Bombyx mori: one gene and its partner. The protein of the gene in region 1 interacts with the protein of each later gene in a pairwise test. Links are inferred from orthologs where the notes say so. Each region holds a gene or a part of one and is shown in the gene's direction. Other genes may lie near its edges.

Region 1 (11,856 bases):
ATCGTCCGAGTAAGCGGTGTTCGACTGTCACTAGCTCGGGTGGCGGTTGTAGGTAGAGAAGTGTACATTGCGTAGATTTATGATCGCTATGATATATTAGAAATCGTCGTGGCTTAAAGGTTATGACGCCTTGTGCATTCGTTTCGATCGATGCGACCGTGCCGATGTTCGAATCCTGCTTGAAGATACATGTTTTTCTAGTGTAATACGTGTACCTTACTCATTTTCACGAATTGCTTCCACGATCAAGGAATAACATCGTGTAATAAAAGCCAAACCCACAAAAAATATTATATGCATAATTGATGATATGAGTGGATGAAGGGGTTAGGTATAATTATTTTTTTTTGTTTTTGCATTGAATGAAGGTGTTATGTGCCTATAAACCATATTAGACCTTAAAACTACGGATTTAAAGGTTATTTTTAGAACTTGCATTTGATGAATGAGTTATGTACGAAGAAAAAGTACAAGTAACAAGTTTATTACCCGTTTTCTGAAAAATTAACAAAATTGTATCATGTCCCGTTCATCCACTCATGTCTTCAATTATAGGAGGTAGGGCATCTTCTGAGCCTGCACAGGAAAGTACCACCACCTATTGCTTATTTCTACCACTTACCACCAACTAGGCCGGGAGCTCGTCTACCAATCTAAGCAAAAACAAGTAAACAAATACCTGCATTCTCGTAAATGTATTGCAATGTTACCTCAAATCTGATTGCATGTTTGCTCGAATCAAAAATTGGTAAAATGTGGTTGCTCACCCGTGCAGGCTTGCATCGCGTGTAATTAGGATATGAACTAGCTATTAAACACTGACTCAAATTAACTCCACCTCCAGCGGAACCATGTGGGACAGCGGCTAGCCAAAACGCACCTAAATATTGCATTAACATTACCGAGACACCCCGACGCGTGAGGCCAGCGTAAGACAAGAAACGTGCCAATCACAACCATCCATCATCTGGTTGTTTATATTATAGTTAAATATTTTACCTCATTTAAATCCGTTCTATTTTATTTCGGATTCTAATATAGTTTTATAACTTTTCATACAACAGACGCAAGGCCTTCTTCTATAAATTAAAGTTTTTGATATGATTCCTTTGCTTGCCCTGTTTTAGAACAATAAAGGATCTAAATTTTACTACTGTAAAATTTTAATGGGAAGGTACATAATAACTCCATGGGGATAATGAAACAAAGGCGCTGGACAGAGTTTCTCGGGATCTTCCAAAAAGTCTACTGAAATTCTCAGTAAATAACTACTATTTCACTGAGATTATATTTCATCTCACATTATATCGTTTCATTTAATTTCATCTCAAATGCCGCAAATCATTCAATCAACTTCATTTTGCTCCTTAATTTTTCATGAAAGAGATTAGAATATACAAAAATTAAGCTGTATGGTAGGATATCTTTGCCTTTTCAGTTGGAAAAATAGAACTACTACTACTGTCAAATTTTGAGGTTATTTATAGCGTCATTTGGGCTGTTGTTGTAAATTGTTGTTCATAGTGCGTAAATATCGTCTACTTTTCTGAGAGAGTAGCTGTAAACGGAAGGCACAATGCCATCTATAGATGTAATGCTACCACCGGGGCAGTCGTTAGAGATCCCGGAAGATCCGCCTCCACCACCCCCTCCAGTCATTGGCATTATTTATCCACCACCTGAAGTCAGAAGTATCCTTTTAACAATAATAAACAGGTAGTATTTAGATATAAATTACGATTTTAATGCATTTTAATCCGAAATCAAAATATCCTAAATACTTTTCTGATATCAAATTGACGGCACTGAAACATCCGCTGTCCACCGGAATCAGGTCTTTCGAGTTTGGATTAATTCGTTGATTCATGGTTAAAAAACATAATCGGCGTAACCAAGAAAACAACGATTCGCATAAAGGATACAAATACATAATTAAACTGTCACATAGTTTGATTTTTGTAAGTATGATCATGATCTGTTTTGCCATGCATATTTGGTTTGGTAAGATTATTAAATTATTTCCTAGCACAAGGAAGTTAATAATGTGATAATAAAAAAAAGGATGGAAATTTTAACAAATTCTCGTTTGTTGGTTATTAACATTTTGGAAAAACAACTCTGTGTGTATTTTTTGATAACACTAAGCATGATAGCTACTAAATAAATTATTAAGGAAATTTGATTGAAATACAAAGAAATTCATTTTGAAATAGATAAAGGATTAATATCTTGTAGACTTGATTGTTCATGATAATAGGCAATCTCCACAATAAGTAGAAAATTAATAACTGAATTCACTTTTAATTAGCCCATTCTGTCAATATTTTTGTTAATTGAAAGCCCAATTGTTTGAAAATGATTTTGTGACTTCTTGTAAGTCCGCATGGGTAGGTACCACCACCCTGCCTATTTCTGCCATAAAGCAGTAATGCGTTTCGGTTTAAAGGGTGGGGCAGCCGTTGTAACTTATATCAAGGTGGGTGGCGCATTTAAGCTGTAGATGTCTATGGGCTCCAGTAACCACTTAACATCAGGTGGACTGTAAGCTTGTCCACCCATCAAAGCAATAAAAAAAAACATTTCTGAAAGTATGGAGTATTTTAATTGTGATTTCAATAGGCTCTGATAACTGCTTTACCCCTGGCGGACTGTGAGATTGTTCCTCAAGTAAGGATACTTAAAACCTTAAAATCAGGTTTCACTTAAAATATATTGACGCTTGAAAGGCAAATGTGACTAAGCGACAATGCATGAACTTTACAGTAGACTAATTTAAAGTTGAAATTAATTTAAAATATACATAAGAAATACCTGAAAAAAATTCTATTATAACGAATCTAGCTGTAGGGTTGAAATGATTTTAATAGACCTAGAAATATATATTTTTTGCGCATCGAATATGGTTATTGCCTATCACTTCTGTACAAAGCAGTTATTGTCGCTTAGTCATGTTTGCCTTTCAAGCGTTGATATGTTTATGAAAGAAAATTTTAGTTCCTCACTATATTTTATGGTTAATATCGTTTTCTGTTTATGTTTAAATAGTTCATTATTACTCTTTCATGCTCGGTATGCTATAAATATTCTTTATTCCCAGTTCTTTATTTTAGTCAGAAAGATATTCAAAATTAAATTAGCTCAAAGTTTTATTTCAGAATTTTCAAAAATATTTCTTTAACCCAGCTAAATAGATATTGTTGATAAAACTGCCAGCTTTGTGGCTCGTAATGGTCCTGAATTTGAAGCTAGGATCAGACAGAATGAGCTGGGCAATCCAAAGTTCAACTTCCTTAATTCAGGGGATCCCTACCATGCTTACTATCAGCATAAAGTCAGAGAGATCAAAGAGGGAAAAGGTAAGTTTTCAAATTCTATTCATTTAAATTAGTATAAAATTTAATTAAAATATTAACATAACAATGTGACAGAAAGAAGGCTATTGTCAAATTTGTGGGTTCAGGACAACTTGTTGATATTATTATGTGGGCCAGCATAGCAACTGTTGATTATATACATATGTGATGAATATGACCTGTTTGCTTATGGAACATTTCACTTTAATTGTTTTACACTAGAAAAACAAATCATGTCTCAGCTTTGATTAAAAGAAAGAATTGTTCTTCTAACATAAAATTTGCACAGCTTGGTCAACTTACATTTGATAGAAAGATTAAAATCTAGTCTGCTTATGTCACTGATAGTCGTATTTTTTTAGTTCCCGAACCAACTGCACCACCAACTATGCCATCAGGACAGCAACGAATGGGTCTCGCTCCAGCCACAGCGGCCCGCCAGCAGGAGCTCCTCAAGGCAGCTGCTCCTGCAGAACTGCCTCCGCCGCGCGACCCACCACCAGATTTCGAATTTATCGCTGATCCACCGTCTATATCGGCTCTGGAGCTCGACATAGTGAAATTAACCGCGCAATTTGTCGCCAGAAACGGTCGTCAGTTCTTAACGGATTTAATGAAGAAAGAGGAGCGTAATCATCAGTTTGATTTTCTTCGTCCCCAGCATTCACTGTTCCAATACTTCACGCGTCTGCTTGAGCAGTACACGAAGGTGTTGCTGCCGCCAAAAGAACTAGTATCAAAGCTGAATGCTGAGATACGCAGCGGGATATTAGAACAAGCTCGCAGTCGCGCTGCCTGGCACGCGCACCAAGCCAAGCGCAAGGCCGCTGACGAGGCCAAAATTGAGAAAGAGAGGCTCGCGTATGCCTCCATAGACTGGCACGATTTTGTCGTTGTTGAAACTGTAGATTACCCCGCAGGGGAACCCGGAGACTTCCCTCCTCCGACCACTCCACTAGAAGTCGGAGCCCGCGTCCTCGCCCAAGAGAGGGGTGAAGATATAATACGGAACCAGAATGACGACGATGATACTGAGATGCAAATTGAATCCGAATCGGAATCGGAGTCTGATGAGGAACTTGCGGAAATGGAGGATCGAACTCAGTCCCATCGGCCGGACGATAACCGCGTGCAAGACATGGAAGAGGAAAGCTCGACTTCGGAGGTAATATTTTTAATGATTTTACAATTTAAGCTGAACCAGTATCAACAAACTGATTTCAAAGCTAGCATTTAAAAAATCCTTCAATGCTATATATACAGTTCAGAGCCGTTTGATGCAGTGGTAAGTGACATGGTCACTACACAACAGGGTCGCGGGTTCGAATCCCGCCAAGGGAAGATATTTGTATGATAAATATAAAATGTTTTTTCCAGGGTTATGGATGTATATTAAATATATGTATGTGTATAATAAAAATCTTACATTTATTTCCGTTATCTGGTACCTGTAACACAAGTTCTTTACGAACTTAGCACAGAACCAGTTAACGTGGTGTGATTGTTAGTAAATATTTATTTATTATAAAAAAAAAGCTGTTCTGATAATATCATAGCTAATATTCATGTAAATTATTTTTCAGTCCGAGACGGAGCAAGACGCCCCGCGCGCGGACGAGGCGCCCCTCCCGCCGCGCCCCGACCGCGTCGTCGTCAAGAAGTACAACCCCAAGGAGGCGAAGCCCCGCGCCGCCGCCGGGGACGAGTGGCTCGTGTCGCCCATCACCGGCGAGAAGATCCCCGCCAGCAAGGTGGCCGAGCACGTGCGCATCGGGCTGCTGGACCCGCGCTGGCTGGAGCAGCGGGACCGCGCCGCCGCCGAGCGCACCGACCGGGACGAGGCGCTCGCCCCCGGGGCCGCCATCGAGGCTTCGCTTAAACAGGTATGCCCACATCCAAACTTTTTTGATAAATTTTTTTATTGCTTAAATGGGTGGACGAGCTCACAGCCCACCTGGTGTTAAGTGGTTACTAGAGCCCATAGACATCTACAATGTAAATGCGCCACGCACCTTGAGATATAAGTTCTAAGGTCTCAGTATAGTTACAACGGCTGCCCCGCCCTTCAAACCGAAACGCATTACTGCTTCACGGCTGAAATAGGCAGGGAGGTGGTACCTACCCGTGCGGACTCACAAGAGGTCCTACCACCAGTAACTATTTGCTATGTGTATGTGCATTACTATAATTCTCATGTTGTATTTGTTATTTTAGCTGTTCTACACACACTCATCACTTTTAATTATTATTCTCATAATCCTCTCGCAGGTCTGCTGGAAGAGATTTCTTAAAAAAATAAGCAGTGCCTTTGTACATAATTTTCCTATTACTCGGTACTATGCCTTCTTTTTTGTGTGTACGTAAATAAATAAATAAGTTTATATAATAATATCAAATTTTAAATAAAAAACTGAATTCAACAAAATACAACGAGAGAGAAACGTCTGAAGTCAATAAATGTGCAACTATTGAGGATAATTCCAAAACTACTGATCAAATCTTCATAAAATTTAAATGGCACCATGCTTTCAAATAAACAAATCATCAAAATCAATTCACAAGAGAAAAAAACCTCAGGAAACAAAAAAATGTCGAATTGCAAACCTCCTTATTTTGTAAGTCTGTTAAGAAAATAATAAACATTTGTTGTAGTTGGCGGAGCGTCGTACTGACATCTTCGGTGTAGGGGACGAGGAAACGACCATCGGTAAGAAGATCGGCGAGGAGGAGAAGAAGCGCGACGAGCGCGTGACGTGGGACGGGCACACCTCCAGCGTGGAGGCCGCCACCCGCGCCGCCAGGGCGCACATCACGCTCGAGGACCAGATCCAGCAGATACACAAGGTGAGCCGCGCCGCCTCCCTTCCACCAGGCCAACGACAAGGACAATGCCACCTCCAAAAGAGCTCCGCATATTCCTTTTTATACATTTTTCCCCCTACCTATGCTGATAGCCTTGAGAGGCTTTTTCTTCTAGATACACCATTTGGTCCACTACAAAATGTTTCTTTATTAATTTCGTTTTTTTTTTTTCATAGAACAAAATAGTTTGAAATTTTCAAATTTTAAACGCATGTGTAGAAAAATATGTGTCGAGTCTCCTAGTACATAAACCGGGGCCGAAAACAATGCGAATAAATCCAGCCACAAAATTTAAAATAATATACAAATATTTTAGTGTTGCACTCGATTTTAGTGACTTTTTTTTCTATATACTGAGTCTTAAGCGGCTATATCAGCTTCGCCCTAACATGTAAGTGAGCTCACGGGGCTCAAACCGGGAGTGTTGCTAACACTGACCCTAGCAAGAGCAGTGCTTCGCAGAATCTACCACCGGATCGGAAACGCGACCCACTGAGAAGATCCGGCGAGAAACTCAGTAGGCTGTGTCTGAGGGTTAAATTAGCGACCCGCCCGTGCTTCGCTTCGGGAACTATAACTTATTATTGATCTTATTGAATTTTCTATCTTCATCTTTCATAATATCGCGCACTCGATTGTGAATAGTCATAACTATTCAAATATTGATCCACCTACCATTCATTACAACCATGATTAACATGCATGTTATTCTGCAGTGTAAGCTATATTATTGTAAGCTTCATCAAAATTCATTGAGCACTTTTTGCGTGAAAGAGTAACAATTAAGATGTAGTGGGAAATTATTTTCCTTCGGGAAAACTCTGATCTTTATCGGAATACGATGACACCCGAACAGTCAATGAATGATTATATTAAATGAGTAACATTTTCATATCCAATAGTATGGAACTTTATTATTTAGTGTCAAAATGAATAATGTCATTGCACTGAGAGAGCACGATAAATACGAACTTTTCCGAAAAATTACGAAGTACTTTTCTGAATATGTCTATACATTCTTACACACTTTCACATTTATAATATTAAGTAGGATGAATCAAAAAAGGGTATTATTATGATATATAAAAAAATCATTGGATTCATTGAACATTGGCTTCAACCCTGATTCCTTCAATGCAGGAAAGGGCTTGCATTTTTTTGCTTACCTAATCGTCGGTACCCTAAAGGGCTATTCTAACTACTCACGGACCGGTAGGTGAGCTCCCTGGGCTCATCCTGAGAGAATTTACTAAAACTAGCCCTAGCAAGCACAGTGCTTCGCAGAATCTACCATCGGGTCGGAATCACGGCCCAATGAGAAGACCCGGTGAAAGAAACTCAGTTACTTGTGTTTGTGGCAGCGTATTCCCAAAAGGACAAGCACTAACACATTTCCCCACCCCCACTGTGCCAGAAAAAAGTTTTCATAAACTATCGTAAATGCCTTAAACAAATAAAATATCAATCAAACTGCTGGGAAACCCGATCGCGAATAACATTGCACAGCGCGTAATAAAAATCTCGTCAATAAAATATAAAACATTAAAACAGAAAAACAATAAAAATGTTTCACGTGTATTGTATTTCTCTTATGTTGAACAACATTGTAATACATAATGGGTATTGTGGCATTGAATCTAATGTTATATTTCGTTTTGCAAACTGTAAATATTGTGGTTTGCACGAAATCACTGCGCACAGGCAGAGATGCTTTAGAAGATGAGTACCCGTACGTTGTGACGGTCGAGTTAAAACTCACGAATACTACGACGAACGCTCTGCTGTGCTCGGGGTGCGTGCTGACCCCGACCTGGACCCTGACCACCGCGCGCTGCGTCTCCAAAACCGAAGACTTGCTAATCCAGGATCCGAAGATGTCATGGGTGGTGTACTATGGACTCACGCAGAAACCTTCCCAGGACACCGCCATCGCGATCCTTTCCGGAATAGTCCACCCCAGATATGCCGCGTCACCGAGAATGCTTCACAACGACATCGGCCTTCTGCGCACCGATCCCATCACCCTTAAACAGTTCGCCAAATTGAGCGCCGTTGACATGTTCTCTATGAACGGTTACGAAGTTGAGCTAATAGGCTTCAAGTCGACCAATGATACCAGTGGAAAATTGAAGAGAACTCTACAGATTTCATCGGTTGTGGTGAAGACTTGTGAAGGCACCGTTACTTATCCGGGGATGTGTTTGGCTCGGTCCTGCTCGTTGACCGACGCTTGTCACCAGGAAACTGGAGGTATAGCCATCCACAGCACCGGGGTCATAGCACTCCTGGCCAGTGGACGCAAGAGGGACTGCTTGGAGAACAATGAGAGACAGCAGGCCTATCAAATTGAGACAATGACTTCAATTGTGCCATATATAGATTGGATTCATACTCATATCAAGAGCTAATAGTAGCTAGTGTAAGATTGGTGTCAGAAGCTTCAGTGAACGGATGAAATTTGTATTGTTTTCTCAATAAAAGTGTTTGTTTATGAGCTTTATTTGTATTTAGCTTTTAAAAGCAATTAAAAATGCTCAGTTAACTTGATGATTACCCGCCTTTAGTTAAGCCTGCTCACTAAAGTATTGATATTTTACACTGACTAACTTTGTACGCTTCGGGCTTGTGTTGGATCAATGTTTTATCTTCTCGTTATTTTACTTGCTTAGCTTATACTGTTGTGTATGCACAAATGAAAGATTCCAAAGCAGACTGGTTTATTTTTGCATCTACCCGCCATTTTATAATGCGATTTAATATCTATACATAACACTTGTAATAAAGGGAGGTGGCGGAATTCATGGAATTCATTTGGTGAACTATATCTGATGTTTATAGGTTCCGTGAAGCTGTTGACCTGGAGTTGGCCATTAGTTTGTTCAAATAATTGTTCCATGCTCTCTGCGACATACGCCTTAGTAACTTCTTACTGCATTTCCAAATAGTAAGGAAATTGTATAATGGTAAACATGACGTAATAGCTTAGGTTATTTGAAGATACACTTTTTTAACGAGCATAATAAGAAATACTATTGCAACATTCTCTTCGAAACTCGTTTAAGATACTCATTACGATTGATTACAATTCAGGTTAAAGGTCTACTCCCCGACGAGGAGAAAGAGAAAATAGGTCCGAAGCCAGTGACCGGGGCAGCCCAGAGCCGGGCGGGGCGTCCCCCCGCGCCCCCCTCTGCCCCCCGCGCTGCTCCGCCTCCCCCGCCCCCGGCACCGCCTGTGCTGCTGCAGCCGATGTCCTCGCTAATGGTCCTGCCCCCCATGGCGCCCCGACCTCCGCTCATACCGGCTCCAGTGGGTACGTATACTCGAACACTGCACACATTCCGTACAACATGGCGCTAAGATCGCGTGCCTGATTTACTGGTGCCGGACAATGTACATGTAGTCTTAGGGAGTTAAGCTACAGATTAGAGGAAGAGTTGATGGAATGATAGAGTAAAGTGACATCTGAATGTGATCGCTGTGAGGGGATCATATGGTCAAAGTGTTCTGTGCAGGGGACCGACCCATCGTGGGTCGGTGAGTATCGGCTTCGGTCTGTGCACCCACGGTGTGTTGGACCCCACCTAACGCCAGTTGAGCTGTAGATTCGCGTGCCAGTAATGCATGCAACTATCCAAATATTGTGTGTGCTTCTTGCATAACACATCCGCTCAGTACATTTTGTACCAATAATGTGATTGCATCGCCTTAGGTGCAGTACCACCGCCGGCGTTCAACTTCGGAGCGGTAGTCCCTCCGGGCACAGTGGCGGAGCCCGAGGACGAGGGCCCGGCCGCTAAGAGAGCCCGCACCGAGGACGCGCTGGAGCCCGAGGGCGCCTGGCTCGCGCGCCACCCCGGCGCAGTCCCCCTGCAGGTGGGCTACCAGTAACACTACAATGATTGCTCTTACGCTAACAAACATTACAACTACAAACAAATAGAAAATCGGTCCAGTGTTTTTTTATTTTTTTTTATTGCTCAGAGGGGTGGACGAGCTTACAGCCGACCTGATGTTAAGTGGTTACTGAAGCCCATATACATCTACAACGTAAATGCGCCACCCACCTTGAGATATAAGTTCTAAGGTCTAAGTATAGTTACAACGGCTGCCCCACCCTTCAAACCGAAACGCATTACTGCTTCACGGCAGAAATAGGCACGGTGGTGGTACCCACCCGCGCGTATTATTAATATACCCCCAATATTAATATGTAGACAGAAGTGCTCTAATTTAATACGGTTTTATTAGCTTCATACGTATGTTAGTAAGTAACGGAATCTTTGAACATGATTTTGACCCCCTTCAAAACGTCAGATTGATTCGAAATTTGGCATACTTATTAAGGACCGATTAAAATTCAATATTTTAAACAATTAGACTCGTTATCCTTACTAGGATAATCAGGAATAGCGATTTTTTGTTTTCCTGAGACCCTGAGTGTCTGCGTCAAAACCAAGATGGGAAACCACCAGGCCCGCTGATTACCTATTTCTCGGATAAGTTACCGACTGTATCAGATGAAAGTTTTGAAATATTGAAAAAAAAAATTAATAAATTAAAATTCAACTAAAAAAATAGAAAATAAATTTTAATTAAAAATAGTCTAAGAAAAAATTATATTATTGTAAAAAAATCGTGGGGCGCACTGTATCAATAGTTATAAATATTTTATGAACAGATATGAGTAGAAGGGCTATTTTGATAATATACTGAAAAGCACCCGTACCTCCTACGAGGTCTCCGCGCTTAGGAGGCGCGCGGGGTAGGTACGTGGGACTGGTCCGCGACTGCGAGACTGCGGGCCCAAGGATGTTTTCAGGGCCCTAGAGTGGTGGTACCTACCCGTGCGGACTCACAAGACGTCCTACCACCAGGAATGCATTATGTTAATTGTATGATATTGTACCCTAATGCCCTTGTCCCTTGTGTCGGCAGGTGTCGTTGCCGGCGGCGCCTGAGCGCGCGGAGTGGCGGCTGGACGGGCGCGCGGTGCCGCTGACGCTGCCGCTGTCGGCCGCCGTCGCCGAGCTCAAGGCCATGCTGCAGCGCGCCACCAACATGCCCACCGCCAAGCAGAAGCTGCACTACGAGGTATCCCGACACGCTCAAATACTCGCATAGCTCACCGTAACAAATGATTAGCCATATTTTTTCCCCGGTTTTGACAGACCATATTAGCGTCAGGCGAATAGGTGAGCTCATGGGGCTCAAATCTGACGTTGTTGCTAACACGAACCCTAGCAAGAGCTGTGCTTCGCAGAATCTTCCATCAGATAATATATAAGTATTGTTCCAGGGTCTGTTCTTCAAGGATACTAACAGCTTGGCGTACTACAACGTGCCCCCGGGTGCCGTCATACAGCTACAGATCAAGGAACGAGGCGGTAGAAAGAAATAATACAAAAAAATACTATAAAAGTTAATGATAAGGGACTGCGAAACACGTTGGAAGAATTAATACAGAATTTACATCAGAATATTGACATTCAGTCAATAGGTTGTTACGTTAGTCGTGATAAAAAGATTCATTGAAATTATCTAATGGTGGGAAAATTAAATATTTACCAAATAATATTGTAATTATTTATTGTTGGTAACCCTGACCTATCACACCCCTAATCCAAGACCTCTTATTCCC
Region 2 (7,649 bases), on another chromosome or scaffold:
AGAAGAGATGCAGTGTTGATATTACGGGTTGACACCACACAAGACACGATATGAGAATTAAATAATCCATTGAAAAGGTAAGTGATCTAAACAAAAATGTCTAAAATCAACAACATCAGATGTTTAAAGGTTGGTATTTCTCTGAAGGTAAGCAGCTTTTTTTTCAGATTCGTCATTTTGGTTGACAAAAAAAAGTTATTAGTGAAATTAATTTAATGCGCCAAACAATTCATATTATTATTAATGTGTACTCTATTGCACACCTAAACAACAGACATTGATTGACAGATATAAGTTAATCTCAATATTTAACATTCTCAACAAATTGTTAAAAGGTATAAAATATTAGTGTTTATATTAAATTAGTGTAGTTGATACAGAATTCTATGAGAATCGTATCATTACATTAAATCTATGAAAATTACGACAAATAATAGACAACACATGAAACATAATAAATATCTACCAGTAAAAGTGCCTCCAGGCAAACTGTTCTTTGACATAACCTCTGGACTTGAGTGATTGCATAGCTTTGATAACTTGGAGGTTAGGAATCTTCTCTAGTTCAGTATGCTTCGGTGCATGATAGTCTTTTTTGGCCACCATGACTCCCTCTTTAAAGAGGTACTCATAAATAGCAACACGGTTTTGTTTGGGCATCAACATCTTGAAAGCCGCCTAAAACAACAAATTATTGGGTTAAGACATACAAGTGAAAAAAACGTAGCACTTCTTGAAATATATTCATCACAAGATTACGCAATAACTTTTTTCTTCACTTATAACACTTATAATAAGTAATATGCACTGATTAATGTATTTAAGATCGATTTTATAAGAAAAACTGTACTACCTGTAGGCTAACTTAACACAGAAAAGAGCAAGGGGATTGAAGGGAAGTTTGTTGAAAGCTGTCAACTGTCAAATAGCAATCAATCGACAATCATCAACTTTGAATTCATACAGCCAAATCTTTTGTAGGGAAGACATAATATGAATATTAACTGAAATGTAAAATTGGAATGAATGGAATGAAATGACTAAAGGAAACGAAATTCAATGAGATGTTGTGTGTGTGTTTATATGAGCGCGCGCGTGCATGCATGTGTTAAAGTGAGTTTCGTCGAAATGAGGTTATTTCATTTAATTTCATTGAACACCTACAAATGTTTTACATCCATGTTGTTTTATTTCCATTAAATAGTGTCCGACTAACTTTTCATACTCGTACAAGAGACATACTTTAAGCGCTTACTACAGCAGATTTTGCTTGTAGTCAACATATCGTTTGTAGTAGCATAAAAAATGAAGAAAATTTATCAGTTACTTCATTTACTTTCATCCCAATTGATTAAAGTCTCAGATTACAGATTTCGTTTCGTTTCGATTCATGTCATGCTTCTTAATAATCAACTTCATTTCATTTCATAATATCATTTTTCATGGCCGTTTTCCATTTACCATTATTTAATGGTAGTTTTCTAATTACACAGAATAATCCGACTCAGTGACGCACAATGCCGAATTATGCGGAAGCTTAGTTGAGCATTATGCCGTATAATGCGCTCTTGTGCTGTAATTGGAAAACGGCCCATATAGAGAAAAGTTTTCATTAAAATTAAAATAAGACTTGACCTAAAGGTCTTAGTAACCAGGTCATAAAATCCCTTAAAAAAAATCAATTCATGTCATCAAATGTCATGTTAGGTTATATTAATTACAGAGCAGACTACGAATTTCAATTTAATTTAATGTCAAAGTTTAACTACTTTGTCAACTGGACAATTAATATTCTAAGCTTAAAATAAGTGTTACTTTTAATTAAAATGGATTTTCAAAATCGCCCTGGCGGTAAAACTGGTGGAGGAGGTGTAGCGTCATGGTCGGAAAGTAACAGAGACCGGCGGGAGAGATTACGACAGCTTGCACTAGAAACAATAGATTTAAACAAAGATCCATATTTTATGAAAAATCATTTAGGTGAGTAATAAACGTTAGTTATAACTTCAACATGTTAACCTCGTTCACTTCACAAACGTAAACTTCATTTTTAGGGTCCTATGAATGTAAACTTTGTTTAACCCTGCATAACAATGAGGGAAGTTATTTGGCTCACACGCAAGGGAAGAAGCATCAAGCCAATTTGGCACGTAGAGCTGCAAAGGAAGCCAAAGAAGCGCCTCAACAGCTTGCCCCGGAAAAACCTAGAATTGAACCTAAGAAATTTGTGAAGATTGGTAGACCTGGTTACAGAGTAACAAAACAGAAAGATCCTGAAACTGGACAGCAGAGCTTGCTCTTCCAAGTAGATTATCCAGGTACAGTCATTTCAATGATTATGAAAAGTGAAATTGAAATAAAAGTAGTTTAAATAGGTTTTCTTTTACAATTATTATATTTCTAATCTTTTACTCTTTAAAATTTATTTTAAGTCATTTAGATGAAATAATTCTTATTAACCATACTAAAAAGAGGAACAGATATTCAAATGCTGTGTAATATTTTTTTTAGAGATTGCAGAGGGTGTTATACCTAGACATAGATTTATGTCTGCTTATGAACAGAAGATTGAGCCTCCAGACCGCAGATGGCAGTATTTGTTATTTGCAGCAGAGCCTTATGAAACTATTGCATTTAAAGTCCCTAGCAGAGAAGTTGAAAAGCATGATTCAAAATTCTGGACTCATTGGAACAAGGACACAAAGCAGTTCTTTTTGCAGTTTGCATTTAAGATGGATCAGTTACGCATGCCTCCCCCCCATCCCAAAATGTGGGAGGGTCATAGCATGAGGTTGCCTCCACCTCCTGGAGCACCGATGTTGGGAGTACCACCGCCACCACCATTATTACCAGTGCCCCCACCACCACCCTCTATGTAATTAGTTGATATTTTTCCAATAAAGTTTTTGACATACATTTAATTTAATTTCATTAATTAACACTCTTTTCTGTTCAATTATGGTCTTTTTGTACTTTAATGTCAAGATGTTTTTAAACGAAAATACAAAAATTTCCAATATACATAAAAAAAATTATTGCTAACGATTGTGTCTTGACTTCAATTCCTGTAATAGGTCACCAGTAAGTAACCCTTAATGCCATGTAGGATGTGAGCTTGCATTCCAAATAGTCTTTTGATACCTACTTTGAGTTTGTAGGAAGTGTGATTAGCATAATAATGTAGCTTTTAGGAATGCGTTGGGTATCTTATCCTCTTGACCATGATGACTTTTCTTAAGAATCCTTAGTAGGAACATATTACTTCAGTCCTGGGTTTACCTAGTTCTACCTCCTTGGTGTGTTTAAATGTTATTTAAAAAAAGTGTTTAGAATGGTAATAAAAAGGGAGTTTTTCATTAAAAGATATATATGTCATAACTATGATAAAAGCTTTTTCTTTTCAATTTCGTACAAATATCTCAATTCCAATTTGAACAACTTATCTTTGTCTATGTCTTTTACAAATCGTTTTCACACACTCATGGTCGCAAGTTAATAATCTTACCCCGTCCTTATGGTACTAATTAAATAGTAATAACTACTAAATAAATAAAATAAAACTCAGTGTTGGTAAAATGAACATGAATCGGCAAAATTTGATGTAGCCATTTTAATAATAATCATTCTTGCTTGACTACCTATAGGTTCTTTTCAAATAAACAACTAATACACCTCGCAAACTCACTACCTTTTTTTTTTCGGCGCGGAGGCCGAACCTCCTACGAGGTTCCCGCGCCTTGGGGGCGCGCGGGGTATGTGGGACTTGACGATCTGCAAGGTGTTGGGAGCAGACCGCGGGCCCAAGGAATTTTAGGGCTCTACCGCACTAAACAACTCCCCTGCACTCTTACACCCGACGTCCGATCTCCGTCCGGGGTCAAAACCCGTCAGAGTAGGGGGTTCCCGCGGTCAACACTACAACCAGACACGTGGCGCCACAACATAACACAAATGTACGTAATTACAATTTTACATTTTTTTTCTTACCTAAGCTGATATTCTCTCAAGACCATATCAGCGTCACCGACCGAGTAGGTGAGCTCGCGGGGCTCAAACCTGACGTTGTTGCTAACCCGAACCCTCGAAAGAGCCGTGCTTCGCAGAATCTACCACCGGCTCGGAAACGCGACCCACTGAGAAGATCCGGTGAGAAACTCAGTGGGCTGTGTCTGTGGGTTAATATACTCGTCGAGCCCTTCGACGGGTTCGACGAGAACGATGACCGGTGCTTGGAGTACCTGCACCGTTGGTGGATCGGGAGGATCCGAGATGACGTGTTTTGGGTGACGTCGACTGTTTACCATTCGGTCCGCAGGATCAGGAATGTAGTTACCGGCGGCCACGACGGGAGGGAGAAGAGAGGATTTATCGAAATGGAATATTACATAAACAATACCGGAATCAACTGTAATTCAATTCAAAATACATATTATCTATATAATTGCATCCCCCATCGGCCGTTTCTCCCACCTATTCGCTCGTAGCCTAAGGGGCTATTTTAACTGCTCGCCAATGACGCTGCCTTATTGACGCTAATTCTAACTTAAGCACGTTAAAACGAAATTCGAAATGTTGCAGATAAAAATGATGAACTCTTTAGTTAAATATTTTATAACATAAAAAATTTAATTTCAAATTTTGATGCTGCCACGCAGTATTTTATGCCCTATCAAAGGATTTACATTATTATGCCCTATGTATGTGTAATGTAAAGTGAATTCAAAATCAAACAGTCGAATAATTTGACTTAGATTTCTGATTTTAAATCTCGTTTATTGTTTAAAATCTATGATTCTGCGTGGCACGGAACGTATTTTAACGGTTCGTTGCAGCTGTTCGTTTGTTGAATAGATATTATTGTTTATTATTACCAAGCGTCAATGCATAAAACCAACCGTCCAGTTTCCCGCGCCACATCGCAGTTCTGTTCAGTTCTCGGTTTCGGTCCAAGTCAAATTCCTTCTCTTAACTTTATAAGCTAGGTATTATAATTAACTGTCCATATATTAAACAGTTAATTAAATACATATGTAATACGAAATCTATTTTATTCATTAATAATTTAATACATTAACAGATCGTTCTCGTCGTTCCGGAAAACTATTTCCGAAGAACGCGATTCTTCAAATATATTCAGCATGTTTTCAAAAGCTAAGCGGTTTGAACCACTTGGTAAGTTTATTCACTACAGTTTAATAATGAATAGAACTAATAAACTTTCCACATTTAACGGTCCCCGGATACAATTTTCTACTATACCATAGGCACCGGAAACACATTTATAAGTCAAGAATATGTATCACGAATAAACAAAGTTACTGACTCAGACTGGGAATCGAACTTGGACTCGGTAGTAGAGCGATCCAACCTACTAAGCTAGACCAGCGAGTGTGATAAATGTACTGTAATTTATTTTGTTAAAGCCATAAATTTATTGATTCCTGTTTCTAAAAGTGCTTTAAAATTCCAGTTGCCCAGAAAAATCAAAAGAAGACAAATGTACATAAGAAATTAGATAGTGAAAGTACTAAAATTAATACGAAGACATCATCAAGTTTGTGCAAAAGTCGCAGTAACACACTCAATTCTATTAGACCAGTCGATGGGCAGTCTCAATGTAGTAGTGTCCAAAGTAGCAAATCATTAAAATTTGCCACAGTAAGTACTGTTTAAACTTTTTTACATTATGTTTTTATTGCAAATTCCCTGTTTGGTACAAACATGTAAATACCACATACTTGGCCTACTCCTTTGCAAAATTATTATAAATTTCTTCTACGAGTAGATAGCTATATGGTACTATAACATGTTTGCGAGAAGCTGGAATAGCCCCTTAAACTACCAGTAAATATGTAGGGAAAAAAGGTACTGTCAGCATTATTTTAATGCTCAATATTAATTGTAGTAATTGTAACATTATATGCCCTAGCTCATGTACTTATTCACTGTATTTAAAAGAATTTTTGACAATGGGCTAGGTAGTAATTGTTTTTTAACTTAGTGACAATATTACCACATTACTGTGCACATGCAGTTGTGGGTTCAGTCTTTATAATGAAATGTATGAAAAAGTCGTCAATTGCTGTGTATAAAATATGAACAAACATAATATAAATTATAAGCGAGTTAATTAATTTCAGCCCAAAGCTTTCAAAATTACCAAAGCTCCTAACAGCAGCATTAAGAAAACATTAACATGTCCCAAAAATAAAATATTACCACAGGATGAATTAGTTCAAGCACAAGATGTTGAAATAAGGTGAGTCTTGTAAATAATTATTTCAATTAGCTGATAAATTCACTTGATCTTAAAATTTATTTAGTATAATTAAATACTATTTTATTTCAGAAATAAGGACCAAACCATATGTGAGTATAACAAGCAAATAGAAGATTACAAAAATGAGATAGCTCAACTTCAAGAAATTTTAAAAGAACTTGCAACTAAATTTAGGCAATCTCATAACAATATTGATTTCAATGAAATTGACAGAAAACTTTCTAAGCTTAGAATTAATAACACAAATTGCCACACGGAACATAATGCTGTTCAAGGTACAGACGCTGAGAAAGTTTCTGCCATGATAAATGATATGAGAAGTAGGATTATTGAACTTGAAAAAAAATGTGAAGCACTTGACAATGAAGTGTATGATAAGCAGATGGAATTGTCATCACTGGAAGAAGTGATCACTGTAAGAGATAGTTTGTGTAAAGATTTACAAGAAAAATTAACAAGCAATGAATTAACATTAGCTGAAACACAGCAGAGATTGGAGATGGTTAAGGGACACCATGCTTTGGCACTGGAAGCTAATGAAAGTATCAGGAGAGAGTACAAAATAGAATTGGAAGCTCTAAAGACTAAATTGGATGAAGAAAAACAAGCCATTATCAGTAAATGTAAAGTTGATCAAGAAAATCTTAAAACAAAACATAATGCATCAATTGAATCCTTGAAAAACCAAATGTTAAAAGAGAAATGTGAGGCTTTAGAACAACTCCATAGTCAATTGATTATTAAAGAACAGGAAATGAAAGCGAAACTTGAACAAATTGAGGAATCTGCTAGTGAAAAACTTAAAATATGTGAAATACAGTTTGAGGAGCGGAGCCAAAGCATTCAAGAGCATTGCTCGCAGCAAGAGAAAACTATACAATATTTGGAACAAGAGATAAAAGAGTTAAAATATACTTTAGATTTAACCAACAATCAGAATTCCGATTTGAAACAGGAATTGAACAATTTGAAAAATTGTAAAGATGAATTGTCAACTGAAAAGTTTAATTTTATTGAAGAAATAAAGACTTTAAAAGATGAGCTAATTGAGAAAACTATTAACTATGAAAATGAAAAGAATAAATTAAATCTTGCAGTGGAAAAAGCTATCAAAGAGAAAAACAAATTTGAAACATCTTTGTCAGTAACAAGAGATATTGTACACGTTTTAACATTGCGATTGCGAGAATCTGACAGTGAATTAGAACAATTGGAAGACCAAGTACAGATGTTAACAAGTGCAAAAGAAGTGTTAGAAAATGAATTAACTACGTATAAAAATACTCTAAACAACACTGTCAGAGAGTGTGATGAGTATAAAGAAGCACTAGTTAACATTCTAAAATCAAAAGCAGCCCTTACCAAAGAA

The links. The genes of interacting proteins can lie anywhere in the genome.
Region 2: the proteins of splicing factor 3A subunit 1 (region 1) and splicing factor 3A subunit 2 interact in a two-hybrid assay, tested with the Caenorhabditis elegans proteins (2 studies listed by BioGRID). The link is inferred for Bombyx mori from reciprocal best matches to the Caenorhabditis elegans genes prp-21 and repo-1.

What each region holds. Positions count from the first base shown.
Region 1 is NC_085112.1:2,354,274-2,366,129, forward strand, and holds splicing factor 3A subunit 1, read left to right. Parts: upstream 1-1,435; 5' UTR 1,436-1,576; coding exon 1,577-1,691; exon of another isoform or gene 1,692-1,958; intron 1,959-3,155; exon of another isoform or gene 3,156-3,191; coding exon 3,192-3,356; intron 3,357-3,715; coding exon 3,716-4,518; intron 4,519-4,936; coding exon 4,937-5,236; intron 5,237-6,005; coding exon 6,006-6,197; intron 6,198-6,203; exon of another isoform or gene 6,204-7,831; coding exon of another isoform or gene 7,832-8,623; exon of another isoform or gene 8,624-9,305; coding exon 9,306-9,528; intron 9,529-9,927; coding exon 9,928-10,091; intron 10,092-11,153; coding exon 11,154-11,309; intron 11,310-11,514; coding exon 11,515-11,616; 3' UTR 11,617-11,790; downstream 11,791-11,856. Other genes in the region: transmembrane protease serine 3-like, read left to right, coding at 7,832-8,623.
Region 2 is NC_085119.1:6,722,616-6,730,264, forward strand, and holds splicing factor 3A subunit 2, read left to right. Parts: upstream 1-1,540; 5' UTR 1,541-1,826; coding exon 1,827-1,980; intron 1,981-2,054; coding exon 2,055-2,318; intron 2,319-2,511; coding exon 2,512-2,879; 3' UTR 2,880-2,916; downstream 2,917-7,649. Other genes in the region: RpS10 (ribosomal protein S10), read right to left, coding at 467-666; uncharacterized protein LOC101737912, read left to right, coding at 5,139-5,172, 5,471-5,658, 6,141-6,259, 6,350-7,649.